2 linked regions of the Astyanax mexicanus genome follow. The protein of the gene in region 1 purifies or fractionates together with the protein of each later gene. This does not show direct contact. Links are inferred from orthologs where the notes say so. Each region holds a gene or a part of one and is shown on either strand. Other genes may lie near its edges.

Region 1 (6,928 bases):
ATGCTATCATCAGACAGCTCCAGTGAAAATAAAATTCTTTGGATTCTTAGGTGATGATAACTGCATCCGCTGCTGCTTCTTCTCTTCCCCCAGAAGAAAAGTAACGGTATCAGGAAAATATGCTGTCAGTCTCTGGGGCAGGACGAATCTCTGAGCACAGCAGCTGGGGCATGCAAACGGAACAAAACAATAACACAACATGTCCAGGCAAGGAATAATAACAACCGAAACACCAGCAGTTATGTGCAGTAATGTCTGAATGATCCTGTGTTTCTAATATTACTCTTTTCCTCTTGGACTACATGGCACTGCCACTGGTGATTCATCGCCAATAACTCTTATGATCTAAGACAGGTTCTAAATATGGTTCTAAGCTGGAGTTGGGAGAATGGTGTGTTTCTGAGCGCAAAAGTAGGCTAATCTGAGACTACATTACATCATAGGGATTTTCTTTTCAAAAGGGTTTTTAATCATATTAGTCTTATAAGAGGAATCACTGAACAGCACCCAGTTACAATAGGACTTGACTAATGACCTACAATAGGCTGCCTTGGCAAATGACGCCGTTTAGAAGTTTACGTAATATCATTATTTTACATTATTATATATGATTATATGGTAGTAACATAACACAGGAAGATGATACATCCTGAGCCTCAGCCAGGATGTATTATTGTTCACTCAACAAACAACACCAACAACAATTTAATACTGGCTTAACAATGATCCAAAAGCACAGAATAACTCTTGTGTTCATGGTCCATTACTTTAGCTGCTGATAAGTATTTAGCTATTGTCATTAGTTATTAGCATTTTATTCCAATAAAAGGCCAGATTACTCAGCTTCAATTCAGACATGACAAAAGTAATTTGATTCTTTTAAAAAAGTAATTCAGTTCTTTTGCAAATGTAAAATCAAAAATATTCAAATCTTTTTTTAAAGGTGATTTGAATCACTGTTTAAAAAACATTCTGGTCTTTCCATTGATGCAAATATTTTTATTTGATTATTTTTTTATATTTATTCCTTTTAATTTGATATTTAATATGGCATCTCAGGATAATAATCTCGAGATAATTAAATACATAAAAAATACAATAAAAAAATCTCGGCTGCATTACCTGCTCTAGCATTTAGATGTCATCAAAACACTATTCAGTATAATCAATTTTTTAAACTGGGTCCCCAAGGCAAAGTGGTCCCTAGAGAAGAGGGTCATTTAAAATGTGTTTTAAAGGAGCAATTTGTAGAAAATTATGGAGGACCAAATCTGCCAAAATAAATAAATAAATAAAATCGTATGTAAATCACTTAATAAAAGTAATGTGGTGATTAAAACTGTAAAGAATAATTGTAAATAATATAAAAATAAATACATATACCTAAAAATAAATATCTTAATAAATTGTTTTTTATTCATGTTTATGTTTATTTATTTACATAATTTCTGCATTCATTCATTTCCTGGATAATTTATTTCTGTATTCATATATTCGGTATACTCATAATCAGACACCACAAGTCTGCTTCTCCATTGTCACTGATTGCAGGTCACGTTAGCACCTGTAGCATAACATGTTCATATGAAATATCGATATAAAATCACCTGTAGTCAAGTGATATTTCATCTATATGTCCTGTGGGCGTGTTACAGTAGCATTTTTTACAGTAAAAAATAAATAAAAATGTGTCTCTAAAGACTACAAGTGATTTTAGATTGATCGCTGCAGCGATTCCTGCTATTTTCAGCAAATTTCCTCGGAGAAAGGGAAAAGTTGGGTGTTTTGAGAAAATCTAGTGTTTGTAGTTTGTTCTCTGTTCCTCTGTCATTTGAAAGATATCATTTGAGAGAGTTTAGGAGGTTGCATGCGAGCAAGAGAACGTCCGAAACGCGAATCTCCGCTTAATGTCGAACAATAAATTAACTTTACCAAGCTGTTAATTTAATGCCATATAACCAAGTGTTTACCTGCGTTAATCCTGTTATTTACAAATATTTTAAAACATTTTTTTTTACCAATATTCACAAAATATCATGTACTGAAAATTTCAAAGGTATATTAGGCAAGCTGTAAGCATAAGTCTTCCTAAAATCTGACTTTCTGTAATTTGCTTCCGCACAGTCACTGGTTGTTTACCAATAAAAGGAAAAAAAAAAAAAAACACATATACTTGGGGGTTAGATCTGAATATTGAAGCTCAGACTGGACTGAGATGTTCAAGTCTGAACACAACCTGCAGATTATCCTCAATTTATTTCACCAATTCTCACTCATTCTTATTATTTTCTAACCAATTCTCACTATTATCTTAATACTTTTTATTCATTTTTGTCATTTCTCTCTATGTCTTTTTCAGGGTATTTTTCAGAGGAGGAGCTGCTAGACTACCTGGACTGACTGGATGAGCACCACCCTGACATTGTTGTTTTCAGTACCCTGGCTTTGGTGTTCCTCTGTCCATCCTTACCATTCCAAGGACCGGATGGCTTTTATCAGTGCAAATAATGTGAGAAGACTCCAGGAGCAAATAGTAAATAGTACTCAGGCAGAGAGCATAAAACGTACACATCAAGTTAAAATCAATAAGTTAGTGAACACGGAGCTTACTTTTTCATGTAAATCAGCTTTATCAACTAATCAACTTTAAAATGCACACAAACTTTTTGTCATTTTAAAATTAGAATTAAATATTTTAGTTAATTAGCATTAAAAATCCATATTTAATTTTAGAATATCTTGATGTCCTGATTTCCTCTTGCCACCATTGTAAATAGGCCTCACTGATTACAGTAATCTTGGACACTAAGGCCTGTATAACACTCACTTTAGCAGCCTTAAAAAACAGAAAAGATCATTATTTGTGAATATAAAAAAAAAAAAAATATATATATATATATATATATATATATATATATATATATATATATATATATTATTTATATATATTTATATATATATATATTTGTAATGTTAAGTTATTATAGTTAGTGTCTCACTGCTGCATTTTGGTTAAAACTGATGAAAGTTAACATGGTCTGTAAACATTCAAGCTCATTGAGTACAATAATAAAATATATTTGTTACTGTGTTCTGGTAACCCAGGACACTATCAGCGTTTTTTCCCACGTAGCTTGTTTTTAACACCGCAAAAACGCACACTACAGTCGCCTGAATGGCGAAAGAGCAATAGGTGCAGTTAGTGGCTAATGCTGCTGCACCCAGCCTTAGTGATGGAGGAAGTTTACTGAAAACTCACCCTTATATTGCTGTCTATAGTGCTGAGTGGCTTTACTGTTTCTGACTGGTAGAATTCATAAATAAGGTGCATCATTTTTTGGGACAATTAAAGGATTTTAAGATTTGCCTTGTAGTCCGAAAAATACGTGTTTCACACTAGTAGCTGGTTAGTATTTTTGGTTACTGAAGTTAAAGGAGAACTCCGGTGTAAAATTGGTCATTATCAGTACAGTGACGGTGGCGCCCGGTGATTAGCTAACGCTACGAGTTGTAAACAGTGGTTTTTAATAAGCTTCTTGAACACTTTTAATGTTATTAATGCCTCATTTTGTATGTCAGGGCTCTCTGGGTACTACCAATGAGGTGTGGAGCTACTTTTAGACAGGATAACGGTGTAAAGAGCAATTAATCAGGGCAAAATATGCCCCGATACTGCCGTGCTGGGCATAAAGCACAAAATTACTGAAATATCAGAAAGCTGTAGGAGAATAGAGGTGTGCTATTCAACAAAGGTTAGTAAGTTAAGTTACTCTTTATCATGTTTTACTACACCATTTGCTTTAGTGGTCATTATGGAAGGTTCTTAAAACAATATTAAAACAACCTGTGTGTGTGTGTGTACTGTGTACTGTGTACTGTCTCTTTAAGGAGCTGTGTCCCGCCTCGTCCTGAAAGTTCCGCGGTGGTTATGATTCTGAGTGGCGGGTGAAATATGGGGAGCACTGTTTTGACAAGGAAGTAACTTAACTAATGTTAGTTTAACAGCCTATCTTCACCACGTTCAGCTTCATTTGGCAGATTAACGCGTCTTTGGGCTGATATATTTAACGCTATATTTACTGGAGGCGGAGAAAAACCCCTACAATCTCGGAGAGGTGAGTGTTTACCGGTTATTTACACAGCTAACCGGCTAAAGCTTAGCAGGAAAGTTTTCTATCTGAAAGCTGCTGGGAAGCTAACTCATCTAAACTAGCATGGGTTAACTGTGTTCAGCACAGGCCAGTGTGGGTGTGTGTTCTGCAGTTACCTAGCCAGTTAGCAGACTGGGCTGTTTAAAAACTTCTACACTCTCTGCTGTAACTAACTAACTTAAATGTGATTAATATTAACAGCCTACTGTCAGTGTATGACAGCTCTCCATCTAGCTAGCTGGTAAGCTTAGTTTGAAAACAAGGCAGTGATTAGTTGTCTATAATTAACAGTGTCACTGTAGGCCTGGGAAATGAGCAGAGGTGCTGTTTGAGTTAAAATAGAAATAAAGCTACCATTTTGACATCTGCTTGTCTTAAGGTAAATAATCTCTGGTATCATTCTTAGTTCAGCAGTCTTTTAACAGAATGTCATTCATTAGTCTGACAGTGCTGTCTAGTAAAATTATCATTAACACAAAACACTGAAGACAAAGAACCACGTTGTTGTATATAATTACCTGCAGACAAGCAGATGTTTTATTTACTTTACTTTACTTAATAAAAGCTGTTTTAAACACAGGTTCATAAATTAGTTTTTATTTACTGCTGTTCTATTTCATACTTTCTGCAGACATAGGGCATTCCCAAATTGTACCCTGTTGTATTGATGTTAAATTGTGTGATTGCACTGGATCCCTACTTCACTGTATGAAAGTGTTCACTGTATATTGATTGATGTGCTTGTGTAGTGCTACTTTTGTGTTGATATGATAAATGTTTATGCATACTGGGCCAGCAGTAACGACTTTTACTCCTTAAGGTTTTGCATTATGTGGAGTAAAAAGTACGATAAATCCTATTTTTTTTCACAATGTGAGTTTTCAGGATTAAATTAGAAGGGGTGCAGTAGCATTGTAAATAACAGAAAACCCAAACTTCATTACCTGCAGACACCAGCAGAGGGGGCTCTTCATCCTGCAGACTGTTATCACGTAACCTCACTAGTCTGAGGGAGAGTTCATCAGTGGGCGACATTGCTGTAAAGTACTATCACAATATTTTAGGCTATTTTTTTTAACAGTATTCTTGGCGCATTGATATATTTAAAGTATATATTACATCAACAAAATAAATATTAAAGTTTTATTTATAAATATTAGAGTATAAATATTAGAGTTAGGTGTGAAGAGACTCATCTCAGGAGACCAGACTGAAATGTTTACTATATAAATATTTGTTTTGGTTACATAAACCTCGCGAGACACATTCAACACCTGTCAAGGAATATCTCAAGGCAAGAGATATTGTCACACCCCTAATTAGTGTGTTTAATACTAGACTAACACAAATAAAGTAACAACAAAAACCTACCGCAAAACTAAAGTGCTGCATTTTTAGTGCGTGCATATAAACTGCAAACAAGCAATTAAAGTAAATACTGGAAATATTAAAACAATGCTAGACATAGTAACTCGCAAGAATATTGCGATATCACAATATACATTTTCTATCGTGTCAATATGTTTTGCTATATAATTGGGTACAATACAATATGACACACCCCTAGTATGCACATCAAACTACTTTATGGTCTGGGAATATGAGTGCTACAAAGTTCAGAAAGTTCAGTTTGTTTTTTAGAAAAACAAACCTAAATTATTAGGAAATTCATATAGGATCATATTTTTCAAATCAATATTAGAATTTCCATGAACATTAAGAAATTCAGATTGCAACATTACATTTTTGTCTGTTTCGTATACCCCTGGTAAAAAGTAAGATATTTGTCTTTTGATTTGATATTTGAGAGAATAAAAGGTAATTCAAAATTGACATACTTCAGTATTTAAGTATGGATACAAGCAAAAACAACTTAAGTTAAACTTCATTCTTTTATTAACTGCACTTACTGTGTTACTGTCCTTCACTGAAAATATAAAAATGTTTTTTAAATGTCCTTTAAAATGTGAACTGTTGAGCAACTGAGATTTGAGATTTATTCACAAGTCTTTCCTTTCTCCTTCACCAAAGGCAGCTTTAAAACTTATAAGGCCCACATTTGAAAAATACCCTTATCCTATGTAAGAGATTTGCTTTTAGTACAAGGTGTTGAATGGTACTTTCAGTATAGTGCACCATATGTGTAAAACCTATTTACGCTAAGAAGATTTTAATAGCTATGTTCACTGTGTGTGTATGTGTGTGGTCATGTACTGAGGCCATTGCAAATGTCTTGGAAAAAGAACTGAGAAAAAATAGTTTTCTAAAACGGGTGGGAGCTCTAATTGGTCCAGTAAGGAAACAAAAAAACATTTGAGAAGCCTCTTTCATTAGTTGCATGGCTACTAGTGTTTTCTTTTTTTTGTTTTTAACGCTTCTCAGTCTTTTCAATTTGCACCTCTCTACTGCAGAATGAGTGGCGTCTCACCCTCCATGCATGGGCTTGCCTGGGCATGGTCTTCTCAGCGTGGACCGGTTTGGTGATGTGATTGAGTGCCAGCTATGGAACTGGAGGCTGAGATGAGGTGTCACATTTATGTTGTGACACTTCTACTCTCTGCTCTCTCCTTTCTCATGCAAAGGATAAAGAACTGAAAGGAAAAAAAAGAAAGGAGAGAAAAGGATGGAGAGGGAAAGGATGGAGAGAGAGAAGACGTATGAAGAAGCCTTTACAGACCAGTATGCAGAGGATAAAGGGCGTGACGTGTCCACAGGAGAAGATCAGGGAAGAAGGGATTCTGAAAGGATTTTGGAAACAGTTGGAGTGATGACTGTGG
Region 2 (7,194 bases), about 11 Mb from region 1:
CGAACCAAAAGTTTTTTTTATGGCATTGCACAAGAACCCTTTGTGAACACCTTTTTGTTTTATGAGTCTGAAAATTGGCTACTGATCCGGATCTTAAATTATAATTGATTATAACTTTGTTTTGTTTTTGGCTGCTTTTTCCTGTCAGTATGTATGGTTGTGTTTCTGGAGAGACAAGGAGATTTCCAGTACAACACTCCCTTGTTTCACCAGCTTTTTACTGATAAGTGGTGTTGATTTGCGTTGGACTCCACACATGGCAGCATGTAGAACTTGCCCTTTTATGTTGATCAGTTACCACTTCTCGAAACCATGACCTGAGGAACCATTGCTTGAAAACCCAAAAGCTTAGATTAGCAGTAATGGCAGCTTCTACCAGTCGTGCTGGGACTCCCAGAGCTTTGTTTTCTTTTCTCCTCAACATGGCTTCTTTGAAGTGGTCTAAGCGGAAGAACGTATTGGCATCACCTGATCAGTCTGCTCTTTGAGCCTCTCGGTCATATCGGTCTTGAAAAAACTAACATGATACTGTTGTATACAATGGTGCTGAATTACAAGTAAATGTTTTTCTTTTTTTCATGAAGTGACAAATAAAAGAAAAAAGCTTCAGTTTCATAGGCTCTTTTTTATCTTGAGCCCTATTAAATATGAGGTTTCTAAATTCCCTAGAAAGACAATAGGGCATTTATTTTCTCTAAACGTTCGTGAGCATGTGTGTGTGTTGGAGGGAGAGAGACCTTCAATGATGGTTTTGTTTTGAGATGGGCTAGAATAGTGGCCCACTCATCCTCCAGTGTAAATGGATCCATGTCCGTTGAACCCAGATCCCTGACTAAGCCCTGCCGGGAACTGCTTCTAATGTGGCTGGTGTATATCTAGAACGGCTTTAGTGCCTTGAAACCGGTATGTGCTGCTGCAGTAGTTGCTTTCCTTTTTTTCCTAATACAAAATAGTCTATGCCTGTGCTTAATCTGTTTTGTGCTATGTGCAAACACATCAGAGCTGCAGGGGTTTTTAAAATATGATGTAGAGTGTATGTAGAGTGTATCTACTGGTTTAGTACAAGAAAGTAAATACTATTGTCAGCACTCAGAAAATGGTGCTGATCTTGTTGTTAGAGGTAAAAGCTTTAGGGGTGCTTCAGTGTCGTGTGGTCTTGAGGAAATCCAAACCTCATTAAAGCAAATGGGGTGTAATTAGTCTCACAAGTGCTCCATTACACCGGATTGATGGCACTGAAAGTTAAAGAGACATACAGGTGTCGGGTTTAGGGAAAGCAGCCCAAATGAATTCAGTGCAAGTAACGTAGAGCAGTTCACCAAAACCTCATCTAATATCCCTATCACCCCTCCCTCTGGGTTTTCAGAGAATCCTTTATCCTTCATTATGTTTGGATGATTTTATGTCCTTTACCATGGAGCTTTGCTGATTTTATTTGACATTTTATATTTATAATTCTTAAAAAAAAAAAACTGCCTGTAAAGCTTTTCTCATAATTATAGTATTAGTATACCCCTTTTACACCTGCTTCCTTTGTGTGTCATGAGTAATATTGGGATTCTGCTTGGATCAAGCCAAGCACACACAAGATCTAAAACATAAACATATTTAATCACTTAAACCAATCACCCAGCACATGAAACACCAGTAATATTTTCCATGCTACAAGCAAATCAGCATATTCTGTCGCACACAGCAATTACATTTCAGTCGGACTTAACATAGACACTTGTAACTACCCAGTGTAAATGGTTAAAATATTATCAGCACACAATACAACTACTAATCCTAATCATAAGGTGTCCAGGTCTAAACGGAGTCATCGTCTCTGAATTGACAGGGAAATGACAGACTAAACCTAAAAGCAAAAACTATAAAGGAAAAAAGTTTAGAGTTTTATTACATCAGAGTTACAAAGCAGCTTTACAGAAATCTGGGTCCAGAGTTAAAAGTGATACTGCACAGAGGGGATGTAACTGCACTGCAAAGAGAAAAAAGATAATCAGATGTGATATGAAAATTCACTTAAGTCTAAGAGAACCACTCAGTTTAATCTTAACAGACACATTTAATTTAGCAAATTTTGCCTCAAATAGGAACTAAATGAAAAACAGGATACGACGCAAATGGACAGATGATCCAGATGCCCTTATATAATAAACCCAAAATGCAAAACAGGCTAGACTAAAGATTTAAACTTTTAGTTCTTTGTAATGTGATTTATCATGTCAAAAACAACACTAGATGTTTACACAGACATACGAAAAAAAACATTTGTTTAAGATATGCCTATTAATTTAGTATTATTCATGTCAACAATGTCTGTCTAGTACAGAACAAAAATTAACTGAAGGACATTTTAGTTTAAAAAATGAGATCGTCATAAAGCAGAAAAGAAAGAAAAAAAGAAGAAATTGCAGATGCATATTAACAGTTTCTAGGGTAACAGTGAGAAAAATATATAAATACTTGGTAAGAGTGCCTTTGGGAAAACTTCAATTAACCAAAGTACACAAAAACAAAAAAAGTGAGGTTAGAGGAATTCTTCTGTAAACTGAAGGCAGAGACAGATAATCAAACATTTTTGAATATAATCCAGAATAACCTTTCCAATGGTTCAGAAAAAAAATATTAAAGACTATTTAACCATTTATAAGCAGGGATGGCATGACAGATAGAATGGAACAGAAATGTGCAGTGCAGGTAATTTAATCACTGATGGATAGATATGCACTAAAAATAGGGAGATTTAATTGTGTGAACAGAACACACGTCTTCAGGATTAGCCAAATAAAATTTACATGCTGTCTCTGACAGCTGCTGACATACCAACGCTCATTTCATGCAAATTCACTTCATATCCTGGAACAACTGTGTCAGCAACAGCAATAGTAATGCTAAAAATGAACAAAGAATATGCACACATACATCTACAAGCAGCAATTATTGGGGGTAAATCTTAATTGTATTGCCAAATGTTACCCAAACTCTTGCCTGTAGAACATAATTAGGCTTTTCAGTCATTTAAGGTATTACCTTCATGTGTATCTTAAGGCAGCAGAAACCCTTGTTTGTCAAACTTTAATACAGTTGTATAAAAAAAACTCTTGTTCAAATAATGTCATTTATAAATGTAAAGTCATATATTTATATTCTAAATACTGATACAGATGTTTTCATATACAAAATTACCACTTTAAAATAAGGCTTCTTTATTGAGGGGTTTCTAATGTTATTAATTAGGTTAGTAAACAGCTAGATCCTTATTTTACTTTGTCTTTTCCATCAGTCAGCATTAACATTTATGTTAATAATTTTATTCATTTAACTATGATAACATATTAAATTACTTAACTTACATTTTATTTTTTATTAGATATGTTAAACTGTTTTTCTTATTATTTGTGTTGTAAGTGCTTATTAATGTTTTAAAGTATTTACCACTTTATTTATAGCCATTAATAAACCCCTTCATAATATATTTATGAACCCTTTATAAAGGAGCCTTATTTTAAAGTGGTACCAAAAATGTTTTACTTTATCAGTCACATTACCCTTGGTTCTGGACAAAATCCTTGTGAACTGTAAACAGAAACATTTTAGAAAACAGCATTCATTAGGTTAACGGTGGCTTATTTTACTACTACTCTTTTTTTTTAATCAAAATGTACTTTTTATTTTGACTCAATTTTAATAGCGTTCCAATTAAAATTTCCACGATTCTGGTAAGTGAATTAATTTTTACTATGAAATAAACTTAACTTTTCATTAATAAAGGTTATGCTATAAATACTGCATAGTTGTTTAGTCTTATCATTACATTTTATTACGTTTTAAATATGAGTTTTAGTTAGCAAAATAGCCACAAAGCTAGCTAGAAATTCCCTACAATTTGTGGCACAATTTTCATTAAGGTTTCTGGTTGGTTCTACTATTTGACTGTATGATAAACTCTCCTCATAAACCACTGCTATTTTTTAAATAGTCATATAATTTTCGTGTTTCCTGAAAAACGTTTAGACGCTTATTTTTATAGGAAGGTGTTGATATTAGATTCTGACTAAAATCGTATTTCTTGGTAATGACACCTTTCTCTTATTTTTCAGGCCGCATGTCCACCAGAACCTCTTCAACATTTGTTTAATTTTCGCTTTAACAAACACGTCTAGATAAATAACAGAAGACACAGTAATGGCTGAGTGTGAGGAGCAGTTATTATGATATAAAAAAAAGTTAAACAAATGTTAAAAAAATTAAGTTAAAAAAATTAAAAACAGTGTAGACAGATGTGTGAACTAAACTTCAGTTCCCGGGTTTCGTTTCTAGTCGGTGCCAAATGATGCAACAAGAGGAAACGGTGGAGTACGGAGCCCCGATAATAACAATAACAGACCTATAAAACACAGAGTACAGGTTTAAATGTGGGGTTATGAGTCCGGCAGGTCGGGTTTTGGGTGAGTATTTCTGTTGGACCTGTGGCGAAGGGTGGCCGTGTTTGTGCCCCGCTGCTGAGCTCCAGCCTGCGTTAGCCGGATTAGCAGAGGTGCTAACAGCAGCCCTGAACTCCACCAGCCCGAAACTAACGATATCAGTGCAGCCATGGACCCGAAACACAGAGAGATACTCCGCGCGAACACACTGCCGCTCTGCGAGCAGCTGATCGTGGACGACACGGTCATTCAGTTCCTGTACCAGGAGGACATTTTAACAGAGAGCCAGGTGGAGGAGATCCAGTCACAGCCCTCCAACAAGCTGAAGACCCTCAGGCTGCTCAGTGTCCTGCCCAGCCGGGGTCCCCGCGCCTTCAGCGGCTTCCTCACAGCCCTGCAGCGCGACTTCCCCTGGATCAGAGACGAGCTGCTGCTGCAGCAATCAGGAGGAGGAGAACAGGACAGCGCGACCCTGTCCCCCTCCACAGGTCTGTCTCTCTCTATCTCTCTTTCTCTCTCTCTCTGTGTTTCTGAGGTGTAGTGGCTGCTGTACACACAGGCACAGGGCGAGGTGTACGTTAACTCGCTAACCGGAGAGTGTGGAGGTAACTAGTTTTATTCAACAGCTCTGGAAAACATGGAGGAGATGAACTGAACTCGCTGACCCAGAAGTTCAGGTTGCTCGTTTTCCCCTTCCAATGAAAAAACAACACTAGTCTGGAGTTACAGTCAGTGAGTGATAAGGTGGTGGGCTCAGGTTTCCCACAGCTCTAGACTCTATAGACAGTTCTTTCCTTCTTCTGAAGTGTCCTCACACCTTAGGAGTGACAGTGCTAATATAACTTTGTAGCTAGCTATCTAAAATAACTAATAGTGCCATGCAGTAGTAAATTTAGTTAATAAAGGCTATAGTTTAGCCTTACTATTGAGGTTTATTAAAAAACAAAATTCTGTATTTCAGTCAGCAAAATCAGCTGTAAGGTCTGTAAAGCTGGCTAGCTTGCAGTTCACTACAATTTGTTGCAAACTGTTAAAATAGAATTGTTTCAGGAGTTAAGATTGGCCCAGGGAGTTGTAACAGAGGTTTTTAAAAGGGTGTCCAAACCTCAGATGATTTCATTTTTGTTGTTGTACTGCAAAAGTCAGTTACGTAGTAATGCCATAGGTGAATGAGCTGCCCTGTTCTTTTACAACGATTTCTATCACAAACACAACAGTGCTGGGAGGTATACCGTTTTATTCGGTATACCGGAGGGGAAAATTAAAACCAGTATGCATTTTCACCTACTTGTAGAGGAGCTGCGGAGTGCTGTGTGGAACAGCACTGCTAAAGAAGCACATACAGCATAACAAACTAACACATGGGAATAACTGTAGCTCAGTTCTGTGGAGTCAAATGCTCTGTCCTACACGGGAAAAAAAATGAGAACAGCTCTTTATCTAAAGAGCTCCTGTTGCAATGTGAGTGTTTTTATGTGAGTTAAATAGAAAAGCAACAGTAAACAGCAATTATTCACTCAGAAAGAGAAGAATGGAATTACACAAACCATTCACAGCTTATTTATTTTGTTTATTTAGCACAAGTGATAAAACTCCTTAAACACTGGATACGAGGTGCAAAAACATTTCAAGAGCAGTAACTATAGCCCTGTTTAAATACATTAATACTGTAGCTTGAAGGATAATATTAATGCACATTAAATTGAATGCATTTGTTAACTGGAGAAAGAAGGAAATAATCTGTGGCTTATTTTAATACTGTAATGCCTCTAATGGCTTCAATAATAACAAATTGTAAATTGATATTAAACCTCTGTCTAACTTGTTCTATAGAACATTTGAAAAATGTCTCTTTAAATACTTCAATCAAAGCCTTTATTTAAAGCCTTAGTGTTTTATATTATATGTACTCCTAACAGCACAGCAAGTCACACACCAATATTAAAGCCCAGTCATGCAAAATAAAAAAATTATTAACAAATTTGTGAAATACCGTGAAACCGCCATAATCTAGTTGGAAAGGAGGCTCTTCTACCCCGATAGGTTGCCTCTAGCATGGATACAAGATGAGATACACTTGGGCATAGAGGCAAACAGGGTCTGTATGGCATCCTGCGGCACAGTTGCTCAGCTGGGCCTGTAGATCCTGTACACTTTATAGGTTGCCAAAGCTGACTGCCCAGCTGGTCCTGTAAATGCTTGATTGATAAATTAGGCAGTGTGTTGGAGTGAAGTGGTTCAATCCTTGCTGTGTGTGAGTGAGCACTGTCCTGCTGAAAAATGACATGCTATTCTGCCATTCTGCCATGAAAGACAATGTGTGGTTGCAGGAGGATGTACTGACATATCACTAACATGTTATTGTAACTCGTATCACCTCTTGAAGTGACAAACTTGTAGTATGTGCTGGCTTCTGATAATCACACCAGCAGTTGGGGCAGTGTTTCGCTCTACAGCAAAAGCAGGATTGAAGCTCTCATTGCAAGGCAGGTTTCTTGATCACAACACTCCTGTTATAACGACTGGCCTAAGGACATCCTAAAGTTTGTCGGCTGGGCAAAATGTCCTTGATTGTGTTATAGAACCATGTCTGTTAGTCTCTCACCAAGAGGTACACTACTCAAAAGTAGACTCTTTTCACAGAGAGCAGGAAAATTATTTTAACACCTTTGCCAAGAACTTGTGTCTGTTCAGATCACACCTTCAGTCCTTTACACTTCTGCCTGAGACATGCATGCTGAGTTTTGCAGCAATTCGGGCAGTG

What was found.
Region 2: the proteins of pidd1 (region 1) and cradd purify together in Homo sapiens (affinity purification with western blotting; 8 studies listed by BioGRID and IntAct, with this or other methods). This does not show direct contact. The link is inferred for Astyanax mexicanus from reciprocal best matches to the Homo sapiens genes PIDD1 and CRADD.

Annotation. Positions count from the first base shown.
Region 1 is NC_064409.1:47,560,640-47,567,567, reverse strand, and holds the start of pidd1 (p53-induced death domain-containing protein 1), read left to right. Parts: upstream 1-3,922; 5' UTR 3,923-4,115; intron 4,116-6,562; 5' UTR 6,563-6,774; coding exon 6,775-6,928. UniProt on the Homo sapiens protein: Component of the DNA damage/stress response pathway that functions downstream of p53/TP53 and can either promote cell survival or apoptosis.
Region 2 is NC_064409.1:36,379,718-36,386,911, forward strand, and holds the start of cradd (death domain-containing protein CRADD), read left to right. Parts: upstream 1-4,157; 5' UTR 4,158-4,599; coding exon 4,600-4,918; intron 4,919-7,194. UniProt on the Homo sapiens protein: Adapter protein that associates with PIDD1 and the caspase CASP2 to form the PIDDosome, a complex that activates CASP2 and triggers apoptosis.